Linked DNA regions of Sus scrofa. The protein of the gene in region 2 binds, or shares a complex with, the protein of the main gene of each other region. Links are inferred from orthologs where the notes say so. Each region holds a gene or a part of one and is shown on either strand. Other genes may lie near its edges.

What was found. Proteins that work in one complex are often made in the same cells at the same time.
Region 1: BUD13 (region 2) and CWC27 share a complex: the UniProt entries of both Homo sapiens proteins name them as parts of the activated spliceosome. The link is inferred for Sus scrofa from reciprocal best matches to the Homo sapiens genes BUD13 and CWC27.

What each region holds. Positions count from the first base shown.
Region 1 is NC_010458.4:43,363,454-43,366,974, reverse strand, and holds part of CWC27 (peptidyl-prolyl cis-trans isomerase CWC27 homolog), read right to left. Parts: coding exon 3,438-3,521; intron 730-3,437; coding exon 586-729; intron 1-585. UniProt on the Homo sapiens protein: As part of the spliceosome, plays a role in pre-mRNA splicing. Probable inactive PPIase with no peptidyl-prolyl cis-trans isomerase activity. As a component of the minor spliceosome, involved in the splicing of U12-type introns in pre-mRNAs.
Region 2 is NC_010451.4:44,162,592-44,166,768, forward strand, and holds the start of BUD13 (BUD13 homolog), read right to left. Parts: upstream 2,811-4,177; 5' UTR 2,644-2,810; coding exon 2,501-2,643; intron 279-2,500; coding exon 185-278; intron 1-184. UniProt on the Homo sapiens protein: Involved in pre-mRNA splicing as component of the activated spliceosome. As a component of the minor spliceosome, involved in the splicing of U12-type introns in pre-mRNAs.

The sequences.
Region 1 (3,521 bases), on a different chromosome or scaffold from region 2:
TAAAATCCAGCTGCCTAGGACAAAGTGAAACCATTTTTATTGAACCAGTAGAGGGAGCCAATACACTAATGATGTCTGCATGCCTGCGACTTAAACATGTGGGAATATATTTATGAAGAAGGAGGAAAATAAAATCTTCAGAATCCCTCTTAAAGAAAGCTACTGAAAATTCTATGGAAATGACATTCTCTGATATGATGTTAAATGTGAAAAGGACTAAATAGGGTACTATTCAAAGTAATAGTCCAGGTAAAAACTTTTAAAGTTAACATAACCTCCACTGGGAATCCATCATTAACAAAATAAAACTTTAACTACTAAATGTTATTACCTAGGTGTGTTTCTAAAAATGTAAAAATAGTATCAGATGAGTGACATAGGAGCTCATAATACCATTAATATGATTTTAGAAAAAAAGAAAAATTCAAAGTTAAAACGAATGACTTAAAACACACAACAGAAATACATAGCATTCCATCATTTTTAGAAATAATAAATAAATATCTCAGGGAATATATTTATGAAGGCAACTTTAGATAAGTTGATCATATATATCATAGAAGCCTGAGATAACTGGACACAAACCTTTCCAAAGATGGTATGCTTATTGTTAAGTTCATCTGCTCGACCCAATGTAAAGAAAAACTGGCTGCCGTTATCATGAGGACCAGCATTTGCCATGGCAACCAGTCCTCTCCGATTAAAACGCAACCGTGAGTGGAATTCATCCTGAAGCATTTAAAAAAAAAAAAAAGAACAAAAAAAGATTTAGTGAATGATCTTGGTTATAAGACCCTTCATATTCAGCTAACAAGCAAAGTCCCATACAACTTTTAATCACAAATGTTTAAGTTAACTGATTTTCATATATAACAAAATCTAATATCTACAGTTCCTTCAGTTCTATCAAACTTGACTTCACTAGCTTGTAAGTATCTTCTAAATATACTCAGCCACAAATTTAGCCTATTTTGAAGAAAGCTTCCTCTTTACTGAAAGGGAATGGATTACTAAGACTCACTCCCCTATTCTGCCATCCCTCAAAGTCATCTAAGCTTTCAGAACCTTCTATTTCTCTCCAGAATAACTAGTTTTGAGTCACTGCAGAGTCTTCAACTATTCCCTTCCTAACCTTGATCTAAATGTCATGAAACAATTGTTTTCTTACTTTTCTCACTCAAGGAATCCAGCATGGTTGTGTTACGCATTTTACTGTGTTTGAAAATTCTAAGTTGAATCTTTGAATTGGCACAGGTTTCCATTTGTCAGTTTACAAAACAGCAGAAGCAAGTCATTCTAAGGTGGTTTTCTTGCTATAATGCTACATATTAGTCTCTTAGTTAATAACATTTCTATCAAGATCTCATACTAGACTCATGTCTAATACAGCCATGTTATGTAATCAATGTTTTTCAGAAGAGAAGTTCTTTTCCTTCATAAATTCTTCTCAAGAGATCTGAATTCAAAGGGTCTTAACTCTTGTACATTCTATTAAAAAGGAACTTATTGGGGAGTTCCCGTTGTGGCTAAGCAGTAACGAATCCAATTAGTATTCATGAGGATGTGGGTTCAACCCCTGGCCCTGCTCGGTGGGATCCGGAGATGCCTTGAGCTGTGGTGTAGACCAGAGACACAGCTCAGATCCCGCATTGCTATGGCTTAGGCTAGCAGCTGCAGCTCCAATTCAACCCCCAGCCTGGGAACTTCCATATGTCATGGCGTGGCCCTCAAAAGACCAAAAAAAATAAACTTATTGAAAAATTTACAAAGATAACTTTATTACCTAATCATAACAAGCAAAAAAATATCAATTTAGAAAGGAACTGTCACAAAGAGCTATTCTGTCACACCAAACAACAAAATAAAAGAATGTTTCCTACTGTATGGAGGCTCTATAATGAGAAATCTCAATTTTGTAAAATACAGAATACTCTAACAGTAACATTTAGGACTTTTTTTAAAAAAGCATTTCCTATATTTTTCATGCCACTATCATATGAAAATTAAAGCAAACAGTTCAAGTAGTTTTCAAGAGTCATAAAGCAACCCAGTATAAAATTAAAGGAAACTCCAGATACTCTATCCCATTAGTATCAATGTGAAGTTTTCAAAATTTCACATATTTTATGAGGTACTGATGTTTATTCATTCAGATAATACCACTGCCATCAGATTAAAAAATAACCTAGCTTTAGCTTTTACTTGAACTCACTCTTAATCTTAATATCTTAACTATGACATTAATTCTTTTTCTTTCTAGATCTATGTTGGCAGTTAACAAAGCACTGGCCTATTCTTGATTATCTCTCACACTCTTTTCTAATATTTTCTATGTTGTTTCTTCCTTCTGTTTTCCTTGTGATCTCTTGCTATGAAAGAAATGTTGTGCTACAAAGATGTACCATGTACAATTTAGAATGAATTCAGCTATGGTCTAAATTGTGTCCCCCACAAAATTCCTATGTTGAAGCTCTAACTCCCAATATGACTGAACTGGCGATAGAGCCTGTAAGGAGATGAAAAAGGTTAAGTGACTTCCTAAGGGTGAAGTCCTAATCCATTAGGGCTGCTGCCCTTATAGGAAGAGGAAGAGTCAGCAGAAATCTCTCCCTTCACCGTTTGAGACACAGCAAGGCAGCCATTTGCAAGCCAAGAAGAGAATCTTCACAGGAACTGAATGCCAGCACCTTGATCTTGGACCTCCCAAGCCTCCAGAACTGTGAGAAATAAATTCCTATTGGTTAAGCCACCCAGTCAGAGGTACTCTGTTATAGCATTTCAAGCAGATAATATGGTGTTAAATAAAATGTTTTAAAATAGTATGGCATGGCAGTTCCCATCATGGTACAGTGGAAATGAATCCAACTAGTATCCATGAGGATGAGGGTTCAATCCCTGACCTCGCTCAGTAGGTTAAGGATCCAGTGTTGCTGTGAGCTGTGGTGTAGGTTGCAGGTGCAGCTTGGATCTGGAATTGCTATGGCAATAGCGTAGGCCTGCGGCCACAGCTCCAATGTGACCTCTAGCCTGGGAACCTCCATATGCTGCAGGTGTGGCCTTAAGAACCAAAAAAATAAAAATAAAAAAAGGATGGCATGTGCAATGTTCTAAAAAATATATATATACAGAGCTACAGAGATCAGATACAGTCAAATATCAGGAAATATGTTATATGGTCTTTTGTCTGACATATTTTATTCGCTACCACCTTTAACTCCACCTGAATTTAATCTAGGGTAAAAGGTTGTGATAAGAAAACTTAGAAAGAATGCTTGATGGGGTAAGTCCCCCTCTTATACTATATAATCTTAAATATGTGATAAAATTGATTTTGTGCACGAACATGAAATGCATTTTCTTCTTGTGTGGCATAATCATTTTCAATTAAGCAACCCAGGCTGACTTAAAAATAAATAATAATAAAAATTCACTCTCACCTTGAATGGAGCCCCATAAATAGACTCTCCACCAGTCCCTGTGCCAGTAGGATCTCCCCCTTGGACTATAAAACCAGGTACAAC
Region 2 (4,177 bases):
CTGGGAGTTGAGATTGAGAGGCTTACACTTCAAAGTCCTCACAGCCTCAAAAGATAGAGGAGTTCCCTGGTAGCCTAGTGGTTAAGGACTCAGCAATTCACTGCTGTGATATGGGTTCGATCCTTGGCCTAGGACTTTCTCATGCATGCCCCTTGCTCGGTCAAAAAAATAAAAAGATACATACCACAGGCAAATCTCCATCATCTTCCTCTTCCTCCTTTTCCAGTTTAGTGGTGGAGATAGATGACCAGCTCACGTCATCATCCACAATCCGCATACTAAATGTGGAAAATAAAAAGATCAAAAGAGAAGAATCATTCTTGGTTAACAGCCAACAAACATCTATCTATTGGTTTTAGGCTAAAGCTCAAAATCCTACAAGATCTTATGGTCCATTCTTTGCCAGTATGGCCAACTTCATCTTATACCACTGCCTTCTCGGTTCCCTACTCACTGGTCATCTTCTGCTGTCTAGAATGAGCCAAACTCTTTCCCATATCAGTTTCACAAACTCAATTCCTTCTCTCTGCCTGACCTACTCTTCTCATTCTTTACTGGGAAACTCCTATTCATTCTTAAAATCCTAGCATATATATGACTTCCTTGAGCATACCTTCCTTGACTATTTCCCTTACCATCCCCAACTAAGAACCCCTGCTAGACATTCTTGGAATATTTCTACTTCATTTATCAAAAAGGAAATAAATCAACAAGTTGTGTAATTAGTTGCTTAACGGCTGTATTCCCATTGAACTATAAGTTCCATCAGAATAGGGACTATGCCTCTCTTATTTACAGGGATATCCTGCACCCCTCAACACCTTAGCATAGAGAATATTCAATAAATTTTGTTCCATAGATAAGCTATGGATGAGTCCAAATAATAAAAATAACTGCCATGATGTAAACAGTTATTTGAAAAGCCAAGATCATTAATCACAATCATTTAATATAAATGATACCATTCACTACTACTCTCATTTTAAATATGAAGAAATTGAGGCTTAGCCCAGAAAGTGGCACAGCTAGGACTTAAATATTGATCAGTGTCGCTGCAAAGCTCAAGCTAATTTCACTACATGGCACTTCCTCCAAGGAATCCACACAAGTCAGAGGGGGCTGGAAGACATAAAGGAAGAATAACGGGACAACCAAATCAGGAAAGGAAATGGATTAGTCCCTTGTAGCTATCTGACTTTACTGGGTAGTTTCCTAGAGCTGCCTAATAAAGTACCACAAAACTGGGTGGCTTAAAACAACAGAAATGTATTCTCTCACAGCTCCGGAGGCTTCAAGTCTGAAATCAAGGTATCTGCAAGGCAACGCCTGCCAGGAAGGCTCTAGGGGAAGATCTTTCCTTGACTCATCCAGTATCTGGTAGCTCCTAGTGGCATATGAATCCAGTCCAGTCTCAGCCTCCATCTTCACACAGTAATTTTCCCTCAAAGCCTGTTTTTGTATCCAAATTTTCCTCTTCTTAAAAGGACATCAGTCATATTGGACTTAGCGCCCATCCTAATTCACTATGACCTCATCTTAACTAATTACATCTACAAAGACCCTATTTCTTCTTTTTTTTTTTTCTTCTTTTTGTCTTTTTAGGGCCGCACCTACAGCATATGGAGGTTCCCAGGCTAGGGGTCGAATGGGAGCTGTAGCCCGCCAATGCCACAGCCAGGCAGGATCCGAGCAGCGTCTGCGACCTACACCACCGCTCATGGCAACGCTGGATCCTTAACCCACTGAGCGGGGCCAGGGATCGAACCCACAATTTCATGGATCTTAGCCAGTTCGTTACCGCTGAGCCACTGACAGGAACACCAGACCCTATTTCTAATGTCATACTCTGAGGTCCTGGGTGGTCATAAATTGGAGAGAAGAGGCACTATTCAACCCAGCACGCTGGGCCACGTAATTTTCCTTGTTTGACAAATGGGGTTAACAACAACATCTACTTCATGGTAGCGTTATGAAGCTTAAATAAATTCATGTATATCTAAAGGACTCAGAACGGTGCCTGGCACATGACAAGAACTGTACAAATGTTACTTGGTGGTGGTAGTAGTAGTGGTAGTAGTAAGAATAACAGGAAATGAGCACCAGGTTTCCAACTCAGGACGGGAGTCCTTAGGATTGGAGAAGCGCCCCCCCCCCCCCCGCCCCAGACAGGTTCTGGGCCCTAAATACCCAAGCCCAGAGCCTTTGAATTCGCTCCACCAATACTTTCAGGGTATAATATTCATTCTCTGCGAGAGAAGACGGACTGCTATAAAAGCGGGAAGAGAGTAATGAAAGTTACAGCCTGGCCTGAATACACCCAAGTTACTGCCGAAGCGCGCGAGAAGCGGCCCCGGCCGACTCTGGGCTGAGGCAGGGTCGGGCGAGCAGTCAAAGCCGGGCAGCCCGCGACCCGTCGAGGAAGAGCCGGGCCGAGGGCGGAGCTGGGAAGGCGGGAGGGGGGGGGCAGCCCCGCGGACCCAAGCCGCCAGACCCAACTCACCCCTTGCCGCCAGCCCCGCCAGTCTTCGGCCGCTTTTTGCGACGCTTGCGGCCGGATTCAGGGCCCCCGTCGACACCGGCATCTGCCCCGGACAAGTAACGCTTCAGATACTCGGCCTTGGAGAGCGGCGGAGCTGCCGCCATGGCAGCGGCGAGGGCGGGGAGACGGACGGGCGCTAGGGACAAAATTCTTGAACGCGAAACGAACGGCGAGGACCCTAGGAGGCGCAACCGGGCCCGGAAGTGGCCGAGTATTTGGAGCAGTCCAAGCTGATAGATGAAAGAGAGCGTTTAAGGGCTAATGAGGAATGAGCATATCTCCGGTGCCCAGTCTACATCCCCCCGCCCCCCGATGCGCAACCGTGTTTTTCCTGTTGTCCATCTATCTGCTCATTCAAGCCTTATTGCAGCAACAAGGCTACAACTGCGACTCCAGAGATCTACTTCAGAGTTGCAGCGCATCTAAGTTTGAGTTCTGGTTTCATAACTTCCTAGCTGTACGACCTTGGGCAAATTATTTAACAAAATGGGGATAAAAATCACACCTAAATCAATGGTTGCAATGACTTGAGAGAATATTACCGTGTAAAGTGCTTTGAACAGCATCTGGTACACAGTATGTTAGTTATTTTTATTAGCATGTTTAGATGGAGAGGAATCTGCTTTAATAGGCCTTCAAGAACCACTCAAGAGAGGAAGTCAGGAATTCCAAACCCAGTATAATTGTTCTGAAAAATATGGAGGTTTCTAACCTGTGTAACTTATCCACATTCGGTATTACTGGTTGCCCCTAGCTATCTCTTGTGTGGAAAATCTCCAGTGCAAAGGACTTGGATCTATTTTCAGTATCGTGAAAGAAGCTAGAAAGACTGAATTCTAATACTCAAGTTTGGGGAGAAGACTTTTTCTTGTAAGCATTAAGAGCTTTACTTGAATTATCTCATTTAACCCTCATGTTTCTCAGATAGTTTTATTATCCTTACAGATGAGAAAACTGAAACTTGGAGAAGTTAAGTTGCCCAACTTCACACAGCCAGAATATATGACCCTTGGGAGCAGAGGCCAAAAAGGTGGGGTACAAGAGGTAATACAAAATTTCTGGAAAAAAATTATATCTTACATTCTATGTATCTCATTATATATGTTAAATCACTGTAACTGTTTCAAGGCATTACTCAAGAAGGCATTGTCATACTTTATCACTAAATACATGTATCTTGGGATACATGTTCAGAAAATACTTATATGTAACAAAACAGGTTTGGAGATCACCGCCCTGAAGCAAGAAATTTTAACCTCTGGGCCATACTGACTGGTCACAGCACCGGCCCAGGAAGAAAAGCAGGCTGGGTCTCTTGAGGGCTTGTGAGAAGGGGGCACTGGACTGACAGGGGAATCAATAGCTGCAGGGGACCATAGGTCCCCCACCCACAACCTTGCCTTGGCTTCTAGTCTGCTTTAATGTACCTCAAGCTGGTGTCAGCAGACATGGGGAGTCTCCCACTGCCACTCCAGTGAATATTACTCCTATAGTTCTCTCAACCCCATGCCCTCCTGCCCTCTTCTGTCATCAGTTCTACCTCTACCCATTCCACTCAATACCTACCCTTAGCCTGACAAGACCCAAGCTCTAGTCTTAACACTTCCTCACAGGGCAGTTAAGCAGGACCAAAGGAAT